Linked DNA regions of Arabidopsis thaliana. The protein of the gene in region 3 interacts with the protein of the main gene of each other region in a pairwise test. Each region holds a gene or a part of one and is shown on either strand. Other genes may lie near its edges. The genes, in order: AT3G66654, AT3G28220, AT5G11870 and AT5G03345.

The links.
Region 1: the proteins of AT5G11870 (region 3) and AT3G66654 interact in a protein complementation assay, tested with the Arabidopsis thaliana proteins (one large-scale study listed by BioGRID).
Region 2: the proteins of AT5G11870 (region 3) and AT3G28220 interact in a protein complementation assay, tested with the Arabidopsis thaliana proteins (one large-scale study listed by BioGRID).
Region 4: the proteins of AT5G11870 (region 3) and AT5G03345 interact in a protein complementation assay, tested with the Arabidopsis thaliana proteins (one large-scale study listed by BioGRID).

What each region holds. Positions count from the first base shown.
Region 1 is NC_003074.8:2,086,277-2,091,100, forward strand, and holds AT3G66654 (Cyclophilin-like peptidyl-prolyl cis-trans isomerase family protein), read left to right. Parts: upstream 1-1,639; 5' UTR 1,640-1,907; exon of another isoform or gene 1,908-2,372; 5' UTR 2,373-2,417; coding exon 2,418-2,569; intron 2,570-2,685; coding exon 2,686-2,731; intron 2,732-2,855; coding exon 2,856-2,906; intron 2,907-3,079; coding exon 3,080-3,165; intron 3,166-3,462; coding exon 3,463-3,600; intron 3,601-3,697; coding exon 3,698-3,848; intron 3,849-3,934; coding exon 3,935-4,021; 3' UTR 4,022-4,265; downstream 4,266-4,824. Other genes in the region: AT3G66652 (fip1 motif-containing protein), read left to right, coding at 1-687, 933-1,280. UniProt on the Arabidopsis thaliana protein: PPIases accelerate the folding of proteins. It catalyzes the cis-trans isomerization of proline imidic peptide bonds in oligopeptides.
Region 2 is NC_003074.8:10,522,446-10,527,274, forward strand, and holds AT3G28220 (TRAF-like family protein), read left to right. Parts: upstream 1-1,735; 5' UTR 1,736-1,974; coding exon 1,975-2,315; intron 2,316-2,412; coding exon 2,413-2,585; intron 2,586-2,756; coding exon 2,757-3,039; intron 3,040-3,643; coding exon 3,644-3,801; intron 3,802-3,894; coding exon 3,895-4,052; 3' UTR 4,053-4,288; downstream 4,289-4,829. Other genes in the region: AT3G28216 (uncharacterized protein), read right to left, coding at 833-979.
Region 3 is NC_003076.8:3,823,624-3,828,107, forward strand, and holds AT5G11870 (Alkaline phytoceramidase (aPHC)), read left to right. Parts: upstream 1-1,796; 5' UTR 1,797-2,096; coding exon 2,097-2,256; intron 2,257-2,365; coding exon 2,366-2,465; intron 2,466-2,535; coding exon 2,536-2,656; intron 2,657-3,029; coding exon 3,030-3,151; intron 3,152-3,254; coding exon 3,255-3,376; intron 3,377-3,454; coding exon 3,455-3,614; coding exon of another isoform or gene 3,615-3,618; exon of another isoform or gene 3,619-3,712; coding exon 3,713-3,740; 3' UTR 3,741-3,950; downstream 3,951-4,484. Other genes in the region: AT5G11880 (Pyridoxal-dependent decarboxylase family protein), read right to left, coding at 4,183-4,263, 4,361-4,450.
Region 4 is NC_003076.8:812,148-816,177, forward strand, and holds AT5G03345 (membrane magnesium transporter-like protein), read left to right. Parts: upstream 1-1,937; 5' UTR 1,938-2,048; coding exon 2,049-2,125; intron 2,126-2,222; coding exon of another isoform or gene 2,223-2,226; coding exon 2,227-2,275; intron 2,276-2,376; coding exon 2,377-2,568; 3' UTR 2,569-3,160; intron 3,161-3,243; coding exon of another isoform or gene 3,244-3,331; 3' UTR 3,332-3,472; downstream 3,473-4,030. Other genes in the region: AtCDC48C (ATPase, AAA-type, CDC48 protein), read right to left, coding at 1-61, 161-389, 649-811, 958-986; AT5G03350 (Legume lectin family protein), read right to left, coding at 3,657-4,030. UniProt on the Arabidopsis thaliana protein: Mediates Mg(2+) transport.

The DNA.
Region 1 (4,824 bases), on a different chromosome or scaffold from region 3:
ATTCCATTTGAGCTGGCGTACAGGGAGATGCGTTCTTTTGCTGAAGTGGAAATGAGAGAATATCAAGGGTATAAAAGACATGAGGAATTCTCTGAAATAGAGAAAAGACATCATTACATTCATGATTGGCATCTTGATAGATTTGTCTCAGAGGAAGATGGTTATAAGTATAGAATCCAAGATGGTTGGTCCTCACCGTCTTTATCTTTGAGAGATTCTTGGTATACCAAAGAAGCAAAAGGTGATTTCCGGAGAGATGATACCAGAGACTTCAGAACACCTGAAGCATATGACAGCCAGAATAACCATTTTCATAAGGCTGCACCGAGAGATGGCTGGACGCAGAATCTTGGTCGTAGCCATAATGTGAGCGTAAAAGATAGACTACAGTATGATGCTGATTGGGTTGGTCCTGATAGAGGAAGATATAATATGGCAGATGACATGCAATGTTCAATGAGAGAAGTTTCTAATTCTGAGCATCCATCATATACTGATGAGATATTTGTCCGCGACATAAGAGTACCGACACATAATCGGATGGCGACCAAACAAAGGTTTGGATATTTACAGAGCCATATTCATGAAAATGATGAAAGACATCACAGATCCAAGAAGCTGAGAGGAGATGGGCATGCTTTCATCAAGCGTCAGGATCATGTTGACTTAGCTGGTAGGCAAGGAAAGGTAAAGATTGGGAAACTAAATCTACATGCTTTTAAACCTATATTTGAATGAAGTATAAACGCCTTTCAGTTATTTATATCCCTGGATTTTCTTTGTGTTATTTCTGACTGTTTTATCACTTTATATGGTCTGTCTTCTATACTTAGGTTTTATGTTGCTCACATCCGTATATTTAGACATCAGTTAGTGTACAATGAAGAACAAGACCCTTCTCATGTGATAGATATTTTGTGTGTGTGTTTCAGGTCTCTAACCAATCAAAAAAAAGATTCTCCAATGGCGGAGATACAATCGAGCAACAAGATGTTCAGAAACCAAGAAAGTTAATGGGCAAAAGCGAAGAGAAAGCTATGCAGAATCGAGATATAAATGACAAAGAAGAAGGCGAGATAATAGAAGAAGTGAAAGGTGTTGAAATAGACAATGAACGTATACAAGAGAGTCTGAAAAAGATGGAGAAACGGAGGGAGAGGTTCAAGGGAACCAAATTGGCGGTAGAAGCGACATTCAAATCTCAAACTGAACTGAGAGCTAAAGCCGATGTTACTAATCAACAGAGGCCAGTTAGAAAGAGGAGATGGTGTGCAAGTTAAAAAGATCATATTGGATGGCTTGTTTCAGGTTAACACAATAACGGTTTATTGATGGTAGGCTATATCTAAACCGATCAATTAAAAAGTGGCTAAGAAAATCACAAAACCGAACAATTGACTGTGACCTGGGTTTTTTTAAGTGATCTTGCTTGTGCATTTTTTTTTTCCCTTTTGTAAGTGTTTACGTAGAAAATTTGACTTTTTTACCAATGCTTATTTATATTTACAGTTTAGTATGTGTAATGCAAAATCAAATGATGCAGCGAAGGATCAAACCAGTGACAATTAGGGCGGAAACCGTATGATTAACGTGATAACCACTAGACCATAGTAAAATTACTTTCTTTTGAATTTAGAATCATTTTCTTGGGTCAAATAGATAACCAGATAATTTCATGAGAAAACCAGACCGAACTATACGATTTTTCAAAAATGATCAACTTTTGTATTTTTGTTTGTGGAATAATATTCGTCGGATATTGGTGAGGTGGACTCGTAGCCGTCGGATAAACACGCGGCTGATCTGAAGCGTCTCTGCAAAAGAGAAAAGAGAGCAGAGAATTCAAACCAGTTTCCATCGACGCAACGACCAATCTCCACGATTCCTCTCTTCTCTCTAACTTCCAGGTACGTTTTTCGAGAACCCAATGAAGCAATCAAAGTCCTTGGAATTCATTTGATTTTACTTTCAGGTCTTTGGATTTCTATAGAAAGAAAGATCTGTTTATTATTTGATTGGAACATGATAAGCTGCTCCGTTTCTCATATCCACTTTTGTTCAATTTATTTCAATTTGATCGATAATTGGAAAAGTACTGGATCTGGTGTATCGGAAGTTACCGGTCAAGCTATGTATGAACCCTTGTGATATTTTCACATGCGTTTATTCATTCAAATATGCTAGATTTTTAATCTGGTCAATACGTGATATCAGGGTTTCTTCAGTTGGGTAACAACTTAATCTTATTGCAGTTTTGATTTTACCAACTTGAAATTGAATTATAGTCTTACAGATACGAATTTGGAGTTTTTGTGTAGTGTATACTTGTTTTCTGGATTGCTTGTCACTTACTGTTGATTTATGGTTTGCAGAGACAAGTTGTATCCCTCGTTTGCTTTCTGCGAAACTAAGGTGCAATGGCGAAGATAAAACCGCAGGCTCTTCTAAATCAAAGCAAGAAGAAGAAGGGTCCAAGTCGCATAAGTATTTCCACTATTATTGTCTGTAATCTTGTAGTTGCTGTAGTCATATTATCGTTGGTCACAACCTATCGCCATTGGTCCCAAAGGTTTGTTTTCATCTTTGAATTGTTCCTTTTTCATTACTTCTGTTATAGTAGATTCTCCTTTTACTTTATGTGATTATCTATAAACTAAAAAGGATATCATTGGTTATATCTCCTAGGTCAAGAAACACAATTGAACATGAAACTCGGAGTCAGAGATTTGAGGTATTTTCTTGAGAGATTTTTTAATGTATAGCTTTTGAGTTTTGATCCTGATGAACTTCCGAGCACTTAGGTTTAGAGTTTAGGGTATTTACCATATGTGATCTGGCTTTGGTTTCTGCTTCAGGACACTAATACTGCGTCAGGGCAAAAAACTTACGATCTTCCTGGTTTTGCTGTAAGTTAATCTCCCTGTTTGCTTGCTTAAGTTTCTTGTTTTAATCCTTGTTCTTATTTCTCATCATGGTATTATGTTCTGTTCATCAGTTTTTGAAGTAAAAAAAATGTGATGTGTCTTATCTGAATATTGATTTTAATGATATCTTGCTTCTATTTTCCTATCTCATGTAGGATATAAACACATCAAAAGGACTTATAACTGTCGAACTCTTCAAAGAAGGTTCCCCTGAAGTTGTGGACAAGTTTCTAGATCTATGGTTAGTATTGGAATTCGTTTGTTTTCCTTTAAGTTAGATAGAAAAAGAACAGTAGAGTAATTTGATTAAGCTAGGTCATGACTTGTTCTTAAATAGGAGTATTACTTCTAGCTTGATAGGATTCAAGTAGCTTTAGTTTCTTGATTGACTGATTTTGATCCTTAAGTCCTCTTGTACTCTTCTTGGAATTTTTGTTTGGAACATGAAACCTCATTAAAGAGAAATGGGCTGAATCAGTCTGTGACGATATTGTAGCTTAATATAATAGTAGAAGTTGAACATTGAGTATTGTTGCAGTCAAAAAGATCACTTCAAGGGAATGCCGTTTCAGCGGGTTATAAAGAACTACTTGGTACAAGCTGGTCACTCACCGAGCTCTATACCTGTAGAAGAATGGACAGCTAAAGGAAAGCTCAGAGGTCGCCTTCACATTGGGTATAACTTGCTTGCTCTGCTTTTGGCTTTTAAGTGTCAATGTTTATCATCTCTCGCTGGTTTTAAAAAATAAAAAACTACATATGTTCTGTTACAGCCCAAAACATGAGGCATTCATGTTGGGAACACCAAAAAACAAAGGGAACAACAAGGATTTTGAGCTTCTGATCACAACGGCCCCAATCCCGGATCTGAATGATCAACTTATAGTGTTTGGAAGAGTCCTTAAGGGAGAGGATGTAGTACAGGTTTGATCCAACTAAGCACAGTCTATCAGCTTGAATGGTTTGTTTAATAGTTTCATGTGTTAAAAGATTAAATCATATTATTACAGGAGATCGAAGAAGTGGATACGGATGAGCATTTCCAACCGAAATCGCCAATAGGGATCACTGGTGTTGTACTGAAACTAGAGACATGAAATGAAAATTTCTCTTCCTTGCTTCCTCTGTAAATGAGGCTCACGCCAAATCCTTCTTCATACTCGCTCTTTTGTATAAATCCTCTTTTGAGGTTTTTTCTTTCTTTCTATTTTACAGTTTCTTGTTGTTTTGTAATTTTATTTGATTTTTCTCGAGGAAATAGAATCTTTGTTTAATTATGCTTCTGATACTTGAGCAAATACATGAACTGATTTTAGAGAATTTTATCCTGTTATGATAGAAAAACTTCTGTATTATACCCGTTAAGTACCATAAAACTATTAGAGAAAAAGAGAGGTCTTTTAAAATTTATATGAGAAGATATGGAGAACAATCTGAAAAACCAGAAACAAATCCTTTAAGAATTCTTAAAAATCTCTACAAGATTTCTTTTAAAAACTCTAAAATAATTCTTAAACAATTCTTAAGGAATTCTTAAATTATTCATAGAATACAATTACAAAAATACTGTATTTTTGTTTTAGGTAATATTTAATAATTTGGAATAAGATATATAGGACATACATCAAATTATGTATTTTGATACTATTTTGACTAAAACTTAAAAATGTTAAAAACACATTTATAAATATGTTAATTAGTTGGTGTACTCTTATGTATTTTTTTCTAATTAAAGATAAATATCTAGAGTGTGTAGACAAAATCTATAATAATATAAGAGAAAAAAAAACAAATAACGCTTTAAAATTTCATATCGTAATCATTATCAATTTTGTAGAGTAGGAGATATTGTTATAATTCATTGTTTTTGAAAAGAGAAAATCTTCATAGTAATATTTGG
Region 2 (4,829 bases), on a different chromosome or scaffold from region 3:
GTCTGTTTATTTTCTTACCAAGCAATCTCTATCACTCTTTTCTCCACAAAAGTAATGAATAAATAACATAATAATGTTGTATATAACATACCAAACCCGAGGCAATTACAAGACAAAAACCATTATCCTACAAATTAAAAATTCAAGACAAATAGCCAAAAACCATAATCTATATCTTGAAGCCGAGATCATAGTCAAAACCATCATCCCATCATGTTACACATAAATCCGATAATCCAAATTAAAACCATCATCCTGAACATCATAAGTTTCCCAAACCAAAAGCTTTTACACAATTAATCACTAAGTGAAATTTGTGATACTTGATTCGGACCTTGATAAGAATGAAAGTGTAATCCTTTGTATTTCTTATCTATCAATCCAATTACAAAGAATCAAAACCCTAATCGATAAGCTTGAAGTTACAGTTCTCCAATCTTATCTCCTAAGAACAGAGCACATGCATAAGCCCTAATTCTACTCACAACATCAATATGATCACGAAGGATGCTTTTCTCTCTACTCTCTCTTAGACTCTTACTATTTATAAGTTTCTTCACACGTGACTCCGATCTCTCACTTCAGTTCTCACACGTGCCAACTTCTCATGAACGTATCAGACCTTCACCAAGTTGTTTTGTGGCCGACTTTTAGCTTGGATTCCAACATTAAAAATGTCATTCTCATCATCACCTCCTCTAACATCATTTCCATCATCACAAACTCGAGCATTCTCACCATTGACGTTTTCACAAGCTCTTTTCATCATTACATTCTTCAAGAATCTATTCCTTCTCCGTAAATATAACAACCGCTTTTGTCCACTTTGCAGCTAGACACATTCTCTCGAAAATATCATCTCTAGTATACAACGGTTCAGCTCTATAAACTTCTCAAAAGGAAGCTTATACCGTATCCTTTGCCCAAACAAAGACAATCCCACCGACTCCATCATGTTATTAAAAAAATTTTCTTGCATGCACACAAGTGTGTGAATCTGGCCTCCATCATATGTAAAAACATTACCGTCTGTACAAACAAAAAAAACTATTTTTGGCGAAAAAATTATCGTCGAAATATTGTTGGTAGGAAAAACACAATTTTATTTTGTTAACTTTAAACATTAAAAAAATAAGGATATATGGTTATTAAAAATTAAAAGAGAGTAATGAAAATGAATTACATGAAAGGGTAGAATTAAAAATGAGTAGCATTGGAAGGTCATTCCTAATAATTTATTTATTATAAATTCTAGATATTTATAAAATAAAAACTCAAATATTATTATATATTATACTATAAATTAATAAAAAATATTTTCTACAAATAAAAACATTTTTTAAAAATTAATTATTAAGCATTTAATCGATAGTTTTGATACGTATATAATAAAATATAGTTTTTAGTCTTTGTATTGATTACTGAAGTTCTACATTATAGCTAAAGCTAAAGCTAAATCCAAAAACAGAGGCTAGGATCGGAACAGAAGAACAAAACTATGTTGTGGTGTAGAGCGTTTGGGTCCATTTCTTGTTGTTAGCTAAAGCTATGTCTGGAGTGTTTGACGTTACATGCTAAATTTAGGTACAACTTAAACTTTTGTCTTTTTCTTGAAAACACGTGTTGAACAAATCTTTTCTGGTCGATAACTCAAGAAATCTTATCTGGTCGCAATCCATCTTATACCGACGTGAAATCTCAAGACACGTGAATATATAACTTGTTCATAATAACATTATCACTTTTATCGAACGCACAAAAGATCCTCCGCTATAAATATTTGTGGTGAAGAACTCTTTATACCAAACAAAAAAAGCTAAATACCAAATAAATGTTGGTACTCATCATACATATATAACTAACTCACCTTTTTGGTGTGTAGATAAATATATCTAACTAACTCCATTACATATTCCAGTCATTTGCTTATAAATTATAACCGTCACACTTACCAATTCAGTCACTTAACCAAACATGTCTGAAAAGGGGTTGATAAAAAAAGAAGACCACATGTTTCAAGAGGAGAAGAGAAAGACAAACTATGGAGCAATTGGCTTGGCTTGCTTCATTTCTTGTTTCTTTGCATTCCAATTCATGAAAATCGTAACAACACAACCTTCAACAACAACAACATCATCCATTGCCGTTATCGATAGCCCAATGTCCTCCCATAAGCTATCTGATAGGAGAGAAATATGGAGAGTTATCCCACCATCTACCTATTGTCTCAAAATCGAATCTTTCATAAAATTCGCCACTTCTCCAAACGCCGAGAAGTACGAATCCCGTCCTTTTGAATCCGGTGGATACAACTGGTAAGTAGTATTTTATCCTACATTTTGCATATGTCTTTGCATCACAAATTTTCAACGACACATTTGATTGTAAGACTATATATCCTTTTGCAAACAGGACACTTATTGTCTATCCTAAAGGAAACATTAAGGAAGGAGCTCCACTTAATTACGTTTCAATGTACGTCCAAATAGACAATTCAACACTCCTTAACTCTCCAAAAGAAGTTTACGCAGAAGTCAAATTCTTCATTTATAACCGGAAAGAGGACAAGTACTTAACATATCAAGGTATATACATCCGAACGCCCTATTTATATCTTATTTATAAACTATATTGTATTAATCAAATTTTCAACGTTTAAATTTAAAACAATTGAGACGCTGATAGTTTGCATAGTTTCAAATGCCAAAATTTGCATTTAAAAACACACAATCTCAAACGCATGTCTTGGTACACAGAGACGGATGCAAAACGCTTTTTTCTGTTCAAACCATATTGGGGATATGGTAATGTTAGACCCTACACCGACGTGGCTAATCCCAATGCTGGTTGGCTTTTCGACGGTGACAATGTTTTATTCGGTGTGGACGTATTTGTCACTGAAGTTTTTAACAAATGGGAAGTGTTCTCATTCACTAAGAGTTTGCATGACCGCCTTTACAAATGGACGTTACCCAATTTCTCGTCACTAGAGAAACAGTACTATGTCTCTGACAAGTTCGTGATCGGTGGGAGAAGCTGGTGAGTTCCTCATGTCATAAATTCTTTAAGCCACATATTGATACTTAGTCCTGGATGTTCGGTTATCCATTCCGTTATCGGTTTTTTCGGTTCTAAAGTTATTATCTATTTGGTTATTTTGAAATTTCGGTTTGGTTCTTTCGGTTTTAAATTTAGTATCCATTCCGTTATTTTGATTTGAATATTTTCGGATATTTTAATTATTTTTGGATATTTCGGTTATTTTTGGATATTTTTGATTATTTTTGAATATTTTAACTATTTTATATATATTTTTAATTATTTAGTTTAAAAATAACTAATATTTTTAATTATTTAGTTTAAAAATAACTAATATTTTTGGAAATATATTTATATTTCAGATATTTTGGTTATCCGGGATATTTTGGTACGTAGCCATTTAGTTTCGGTTCTTTCGGTTCTTTCGGTTATATATAGAATTTAGTATCCATTTGATTATTTTTTAATTTTTGATTCCGTTCGATTCTGTTATTTTGTTTCGATTTTAGTTCGGTACATTCGATTAGGTTTATTTGCGCAGGCTTACTAATACTGATTCAAGAAAAAATTAACTATTTACAATATTTTAATATACAACTCTTAGGGCTTTGAAAGTGTATCCAAGTGGCGATGGCGAAGGACAGGGTAACTCGTTGTCGTTATATGTTGTTGCGGTTGATGTTAAGCCGTATGACAAGATTTACCTAAAAGCTAAGCTACGGATTATAAACCAGAGAGATTCTAAACACATGGAGAAGAAAGGTAAATTATATCGAACCATAATAGTGTGGCTAATGTTACTTACTCTATTAATTTTTTTCTTTTAGAGTTTAATTAACACTAACTTAATGACAGTTGAAAGCTGGTCGGATCAAGCAAACAGTTGGGGATTCCAGAAGTTTGTACCATTTGCTGATCTTAAGGATACTTCTAAAGGTCTTCTTGTGAATGATACATTGAAGATGGAGATTGAATTTGAAGATTTCTCTAACACAAAATACTTTCCAAGTTAAGTTTTGCATAATGCAAAACCAGAGAGCTTGGAACCAATTGTGTTCTGTTTTTTAAGTGTTTTTGTGCTAATAATTGGAGGATTGGTCTTCCTAAGGTTTAGGAGCCTATCTCCCACTTTTCCCAATTCCCTAGTTTGTAGAAATCGTTGATTCCAAGCTAGCTTTTCTTGTACTTGTTTCCTATTTAAATAAATGAAAACTAAGAATAAAAGCAGTCTTAATTTACCATTGAAAAACTCTTGTTCTTACTTCATTCTAGCTGCGACTAAGACTAACACTAACCGTGGAATAACACTTCTAAAATCAACCGAATAAGTTTGCGCGTATGATAGTAATTTGAAATAATAACAAGCTTTGCGCACCAACAATAAACATCGATCATGTTCTTAAGTTTCACGAGTGCTTCTTTGTTATTTGCTCTCTTTCATCTGTTTGTTACTCTATTATTTCTCTGGTTATGTAGTGTATATAATACATATAGATCTACCAAGCAATTCATAATGTATAATATATCTGCCATGTATACTCTATGTAAATTAAGCTATGTAACCAATCCATACTCTTCTTTCATTGTATTTTTAACAATCATCAATAAGCAAATCAAAATTACCAATATCTAATACAACTCGTTCCTTTTAGGAAATAAATAAGAAGCAAAGAAAATACTCTCTACTAGTTGATGAAGGCTTGGAAGGGAGATGACAAAACGTACGTAGCAAATCAAAGAGGAAAATCCAACCCTATCCACACAGTTTTTGGCTCTTTGCTTGCATCACA
Region 3 (4,484 bases):
CCCGAGAGCCGTCAAATTACAAACAACTAGCTCATACACTATCTGAGAACGAAAACAGATCTTGGATTAGAAAAGGAGCAAAGCCCTAGATACAATTCACAAAGAAGGAACCAAAACAAAAAAGTACCCAGATTTAAAATATTTGAAAGATAAAAACTTTGGAGCCAAAAGAAGCAAAATTCGAAAACTTTTCATCGCGGAAAGTGACAGAAATCAATATTTTAAGAAAGAGAACCGAACCGGAACTGAAACCCACGAAATCGATTTCAGATAATTTTCAATTTTGATATATATATCTAGGGCTTTTAATACGAAAAAAGGGGGGAAAAAAGACATGTGGAAAAATCAAAGCTTTTTACTGGGATAAACGATGGATAAATCTAATCTTTCCGCTTTCTCCGCAAATTTCTCTGCAAATTTCAAAATTTCTTCAACGAAGCGCACACCTAGATTAAACTTCAGTAGCCCAGAAATTCGAGCTGAGATTGAAGAGCTAAGAAGAAGAAACGGAGAGGGAGAGAGAGAAAAAAGAAAACCCTAGAGAGAGTATATTCGTCGGAAAAAAGTACCTCCGATCAAAAACGATTTCTTCTAGCTTCCGTCTTCTTCTCTCTCTCTCTTCGAAATAAAAGAGTAAAATATTTGCTCGAAATGAATGACAGACGACTATAGTCTACATAAGCAATGAAATATTTCATTTAAATGCCCTCATACTTTATTAATATTTCATTAGTAACCTCGATAGTTTTTGATTTGTTAAACTAAACCCCAAACATTCGAAGAGTATTAGGCCGGTAAATGATGACGTCATCTCCGGTTGGAGGATAGTACAACGATGCCGTAGAGAACTAGAGAAGTGTCTTTTTCTTAAAAAGGAACCTTCTGTTTTTTACAAATTGAACATGCATGTTATGGATTATTGGAATAAAAAAAACGTTTTGAAGACTTTTGAATATTTTCTTTGAAAAATGAAATTATACAAGATTATGTGACTTGATTAGATTTGATGTTACAAGTTAAGTTGGTTTAGAATAATCTTTGTTTAGTACTACTATATATAGGATGATCTATTTTTCATTGGTTATAGCTAGAATGCTATATAGAATTGTGGAATGTTGTTTCATGTCATGATTATGCAGATTTATTACCAAACACATAAAAGATTAAGAGGTATGACATGAATGACGTGTTCTGCTGATTATGTTTACGACGAAATCCAAATAAAAGACAATTTGATCCAACACAAACTGAAAAACACTCAACCTGCCAATATTATTCAAAGAAATGAACAACATCAAACTTGTATTCAAGCATGGCACAATGGATGATTCAGAGAGGACATGATGGCTTAAAACAACATTGATATATTTACGTTCCCAATTTGAGCTTTAGAATATATGTTTGTAATTTGAGAATACATATGATTGTTTCATCTTCTTCCCCATCTTTCTCTTATACTCTTTCGTTTTCTTGAATACTTTGTAGCATAAAGAGCATTTAGACTCTTAGTTCATTCTCTTTTGAACTTTGTCTCATGTTAATCCCATTTTTGTTTTTGTTTCATACATGGCTATCTATGTGGGTTACTTCTAAGAACTACAACAACACATCAAGGATATATAATTTAGCAATTTTCTTAGTTAACTTTTCCTTCTCCTAGAAACACTAACCAGGAAACAGTTAACTAAAACCACTCCCGCCAAGTTTTGAAACGTTGTACATATATATAGGAGTGAAAATATTACTTTCAGAAACATGGGGTGGGATATATATAAGATATAAAAATGTAAGGGGTTACTTTACAAATAAAATAGAATAGAAACAAAACGTAGACGTTTAGAGCGGTCCTCGTCAACTACGACAACATTAGAGATCGATCGTCGTCGTCGTACCCGTCAGACTCAAGGAAAAAGAAAAAAAGAGATTCCGCCGCACGTTGTTCTAATCGAAAAAAGCGACTCTCAATAAATCTGTCTTCCCTTTTCTTTCTTAAACTGGAAGAAGATTAATCAATCAGACACAACAGAGATAACTGATTTATCCACTTCAAACAATACAAACCTTTAAAGTCTTCACCTTTATAGAGAGAACTTTTAATGGTGTGGTTGACGAATCAACAGATAGGGAGATGGAAAAGGAAACGAATTTTGGTTGTGGGATCGTTCCTCTGTTGGTCAATCATCATGTTCATCACTCCCAAAGTTCCTCTCGATTCATTTCGCCATCATATCTTCGCCGATAAACGCAATTTCATGGGTATCATCATCATATCACACTCTCTCTTCTTTTTTTTTTATCTCTCTCTGTCTCTGTGCATGTGTAATAACGAGAGACAGGTGTTTTGTGTGGGTTTGATGATGAACAGGAGTGCCTAATACATTGAATGTGATGACCAACTTTCCCTTTCTTATCGTTGGAGTTCTTGGTTTTGTTCTTTGCATTGGAGGAAGCTTCTTCAACATAAGGTATCATTCTCTTTCCCTTTTTTGAGTTTTATTTTGAGTTAGTTTAACAATTTGAGTTGTTGTAATGCAGTTTAAATGGTGAGATCTGGGGATGGACACTGTTCTACGCAGGCATTGCAAGCTTGGCTTTTGGTTCTGCTTTTTATCATCTCAAACCTGATGACAACAGAATCGTCTGGGACACTTTGCCTGTTCGTTTTTCTCACTTTACTTTTCTTCGGAACATGAATCTTCTTTCAGTTATGCATTCATTGCTTCTTGATTAGTGATGCGGTAATTGTATATATTGACAAGCACATTGTGAATACAAAAAGTTGAAGAATCATCTTATAGCTATGTAAAAAAGCTTAGATTAGACTTCATGGTTTTTCTTGGATTGGTTGGTTCTACAAGCACATAGTGAAGTGAACACAACTCTTATAGCTAATGGAAAGAAGCTTTAGAGATTTTTCGGGTGTAGAGTTGTGGTTTTTGGTTTTATTGAATGGAAAGTTGTTTTTGCTCATCATTTTTGATGGTTGGTTTATGAATAGCTGTTTGTTGATTAATGACGGTAAATTGCAGATATTGATTGCGTATTCGTCGCTTTTCTCTAGTTTTTTGGTTGAGAGAGCGGGGGAGAAAGTGGGACTTAGTTGCCTCATCTTGCTTCTATTTATATCATGTCTCAGTGTTGCTTACGCCAGGTAACATTAAAACCAAGAAAGCATTACCTCCTCTGTATACATATATGTTCATGGTTTTAGTCAGGTTTCGGATTGAAATTATATGTGTCTTAGTTGATGGCAGAGTGTTTAATGATCTCCGGTTATGCATGACGTTCCAGTTGATACCGTGTCTGGTGATTCCCGTCATGGCGGTTTTGTTACCTCCCAAATATACACACTCTAGATTCTGGCTCTGGGCAACAGGTTTTTAACTCAAAACCACATTTGCGGTTTTCTTATTAGAATCCACGGTCTTCTGATATCTGCTTATCATGAATGCAGCGGCGTACACTATTGCCAAGATTGAAGGACTTGCAGACAACAAAATATACAATGCAAATCGATATATCATCAGTGGGCATTCACTGGAGCATTTGTGTTCTGCCGTGGCTACGCTTTTACTTACCATTATGCTTTTGTATAGAAGCATTCGGTTTAATAGGTAACGTTTTTTCACTGACTCTTTCTCTTTGATCTTTGAGTTCCTTGAAACCTGAGAGGATTTTTCACTTTTCTTTTGTATGATGGAAACTAAAACAGATTAGGTGATCTCAAAGGCCGTCCTTGACATTCATTACTGACTCCTCAAGTTTTTTTTCTCTTGTATTTAGATGCTTCTGGATTCTTGTATTACAAATTTTGTTTGGTTGCTAGATAGATTTTGACCCATGATCCCACTAAAACATCGTTAGCTTGGTGTAATCTTGGTTTCTGGTTCTGAAACAGCTTTGGCTTTAAGGTTACTTATTCAAGTCTTATATATGTGTTTGGACAATGGACAATTTTACATGTAGTAACTAAAAAGAAACCAAAAGAATAATCATAACTCACAAATACACCTTTTATTTTCGGTCTTGACTTGTGACCTGTTTCTTATTCATATGATCACTTTATTGAGGACTTTAAATCATAGCACAGAATGTGGAAAAATCCAAGACAGCAATAGCATTATAGAAACGTAATCATACAATTCATCTAAAATAGCAACAATGATGAGTAAATCTCGGAGTTCATAGTCCTTCAAAGAAACGTAAATGGTCATCGAATGTCTCAGCATGCCTGATCTTAGTGATCGACCCATCTTCTTCAACCTGCAAAAAGAAGAATATAAATCAATCACTTTCTCTCAGGATCTTGACCCTCCGCTAAATTTCCGCAGAAAACGATAATAAGAAACAGTATTGTTACCCAGTATTCCGGGGGACGCATCTTGAGATTGTAAGTGGAAGCCATACTCATACAGTATGCACCAGCGTCATGAACCACCAGACCAGCTCCCTGTAACGTATACAAGAAACTAATTAGATTCCAT
Region 4 (4,030 bases), 3.0 Mb from region 3:
CCTCCTCTCACTAGGAAAAGATCTCCCTTCCTCACTGGACGGTACGCCTCCAGAAAGTAAGCTGGTGAAAAAAACAATATAAGTTTAGAAAACACGAACTCCAAAAGACAAGCTAGACTATGATATGAAAGAGAGAATCAAAAGATTAAAGCAAACTTACGTTTCAGGTAAGCATCAAAGAGGTTTCCAGTAACGCCTTCAACTGTATCATCAACAGGCAAGATGTGAACACGCTTTCCATACTTGACATCTGGGCATTGGTGAACAGAAATAACATCTCCCAGCCTAACCCTCAAGTTAGACCTTACAACCTTATTCATTCTGATCTTGGGTTCCTCACATGTTTCATCAGCGAGGGCAATGCATACAGTGTCCTTCCTCTTCTTACCCTGAAAATCCAAAACCCCAATCAAGTAAGTAATCACAGAGATAAAAAGAACAATCCAAACCAATTCTAAACTCAAAAAAAAAAACTTCAGACAAAAAAGTTGTACCCTAACTGAATATGTTTACAAGATCAGACAAAGTAAAAAACATAACTGAATATGTTTACAACATGCTCGTGATATACAGTCAAGACACAGACGATCCAAACCAAGTCTAAACTCAAAACACCCTAACATAGTGACATAAGGAACAAAACCTAACCTTGATGAGAATTGTATCGCCTCGGAAAAGCTGGAGTTTTTCCATGGTAGTAGGATGGAGAGAGACAACAGAGTTGTCATCGTTAATAGCTTCATCGACAACAAGTCGGTTTGGAGACTTCTTCCTCTCTAGAATCGCAGTACTGAAATCCTTCTTAGTTTTCCTGAAACAAATACCCCAGGAAGACAAACAAAATCAGCTTTCAGATGAGATCAAACTAAAAAACCCTATTCTCAATATCGAAAAACCCAAGTAAAAAAATCGAAACTTTATGATCGGAAAACAAAAATCAAAGATCTAAGTACTTACGAGTCGGAGGATTCCGGTTCGTTTGACATAATGATAGCTTAAACTGACAAGAGAGCTCTAAGAAGGAAGTTGGGAAATTTGTTTCTAGAGAGATCGATTGGTGATGATGATGATGATGATGAATGGGATCTCAAGGGAGCTGAACTCGGGATTTTATACGCTCTGTGATTTCCTTCTTGTTGGAAAAATAAGCGACCCTTAACTTTTAAGTTTATCTTGAAAAGTTCCAAAAACTAGGTGTTGTGATAAATACACCCATGTTCCCTTAACATCATATCAATTAATTTATATTATTATATGATTTATCGAGAATCAAAACAAAAATCTACCTATATGAAGAATTAAAAAATTTGATGTAATTTTAAACTTATTTTAATAGTGTGGCGAGGGTACGTAAATGTTTATTAAAAACGTTATGGGGGAAAGTTGAAAATAAAAGTAAAAGAGAGGTGAGGATAACAGTTTTACTTTCTGGTTTTAGCAAACACAAGAAAGGAATAGAAGGTTCTTAGGTAGCGGTACCAAAGCAAGCTACATGTTTTTCTTACTTTTTTATAAATAGAAATTTAATATCTTACCATTTGATTTCTTTGTTCTAAAATAGATTTCCGTTTTTTTTATACGAAGTTATCAACATACGATTCAATTCAATAATTGCAGAAATTTTTGTTTGCATATGAATATATCATCAATATGAAATTCTAAATAAATATTCATAATTATTTATTATACGAAAAAATAATTATTTTCCCAAAAGATAAACCCTTATTGTTGTAAAAAAGTTATCAAACTAACTGAACTTTCATCTAATTAAAAATATTAGTTACTTAAAAAAAAGTTTGGGTTACAAAAGATTAATAGGAATCTAGGATATCATCAATCTAGAACTACGCGCCGTTGTTAGTCTCTTCGATATTAGACGTTGCGCCGTTTTCACTTTGAGATTTGCGATATTATAACTACATGCCGTTTTAAACTCCACTGATCGTCTTCTATTCTAGTTCGATTCTCGACGGAGAATACTCGACGAGAAAATCCAGATCGGGAATCAACTTAGAGAAGAAGAAAATTAAAAAAGAGAACTTCTAAAGATGAATTTGGGGTTCTTAGTTGGAGTTTTCGGCGTTCTTATTCTTTCTCATGCCGCTTATTCAACAATCCAATGTATGTCTACTCTTCCCAATCCAATTCCAGTTCCAATTGAGTCAGATCTACTTTAATTTTCGAGATAGGATCTTGATTTGGGTTTCTCTTGTTTATTTCAGATAGAGGATTGTTGAAGATTATGGAGGAAGAGTTTTCTCGACCACCGATTAATGTGAGTATATAATGATAACGGTTTCTCTTTTCCTCAATTGTGTTTGAATTATATCAGCAATGATTATGCTTTTATATGAATCATGATTGGATTTATTTAAGGTTATTCTGGAGTTGATCATTGGACTAGCTCTGTGTATGTGGGCTGCTTTGACTTTCCCTGGTAAATTTCTCTCGATCCATCCGGATTCTGATGAAAACAGGTTTGTGATCATGTTTCTCTCGAACTCTCTGTTTTGCATCAGTGTTAATCAATCTGAATTCATGTTATCTAGTGAGTGTTTTTACTATTGAATTTTTCTCTGTTCGTACTTTGTTGAACTTGGTGTAGAGTTACTACGGGTCTTATAGAAGCATCTTCTGGCTAGATTTGGTTCAATTATTCAGTTTAATCATGGGTGTTTCTAGTGAATATGTTTTCTTTTGACTGAGAAGGTTTACGGATGTGTTGTTAATCAATTGATTCAAAGAACTTGTGCTCTAGAGATGTTTCGAGGGTCTAGTTTTGATGTCTCTTTAACTCTCTGTTGTGCATCAGTGTTTATCAATCTGAAACATGGAAATTTGGTAGTTATTATATTTCCCGATGATTGAATGACCACCAAAGACTCATGTTTATTGATAAGAAACTGTCGTCTAGAGATGTTCTAGGTCAAACATTGATGTTTCTTTAATACTTTGTGCAGCTAAGGTTTTCTAAAATGCAGGACATTCAAAGGGACATTTTCTAGTTTATATTTGGTCCAGTTACGATTATGGGTTTCAAGAGCTTTAACCAGTTCTGCTCCTGGCTAATTCAATCAGTTTATATTTGTTTCATTGGCTCTTTAGACCCACTTTGGTTCCTTCTATGTCGCAGCCTCTCCCCTACCTTTTTGTACATTAGGTTCTTGAATTGGTTTTGAGTTTGGCTTTTGCTAGATAAAGTGAATATCTCCTGTTAACTGGTTTCTTTCAAAAAATTTGCAGGGCGGTGTTTTTACCAGATAATTCGGATTTCATGATATTCAATCACCGTGGCAGACTGTTCCCACCGCAGATCGACATGAAGTTTTGAATTTTTATCACACTGCTTAGTCAAACACTGATCTGTGTAATGTTATGAGATGTTTCCATTGAAATTCTACTCTAAGTAACTACTCTGCTTTGCATCAATTTTTGATTCTTGAAACGAGTCTTGTGATGTTTCTGTGTGTCAGGTCTCTACTTAGAATCTTTTAGAATGAAGAATCAACATAACAACAAGTGCACAGGTCCTAGCAGGATAGGATACTGTGTAAATAGTCAAATACAAACAATTAAAACAACAAAATTTGCTATTTTATTCATTCCGGTTACAACTTTCTGATACATTAGAAAAAGCATAACCGAACAGAACCGGTTTAGATTCTCTTGGCACTGTTCTGGAAGGTCCAACTCCAAATGTCATGACGTTCAACGCCACGGCCCATGGCACCAGAAAAACCGGGGTACATATTTTGAAGAAAAACCTTAGAGAGATCTAAATGGGCAACGATCAAAGGCTTCTTAGGTTTCTTAACGGTTTCTGGCGCGAGAGTAACTGTAACCTTGGAGTTTCTATACTCAATCCAAGCCTTGTACCTCTCTCCATTACTCAGCTTGAACTCTTTAAACGACCAGTGTTTCATTTTCCCAATTCCTGTCTGAACCCAATAACCAGCTTTCTCAGCAACAACGGAAGTAACAGAGTTGATATTAATCCCGACATGGTTATCATTAATGTCTCCAAAACCTT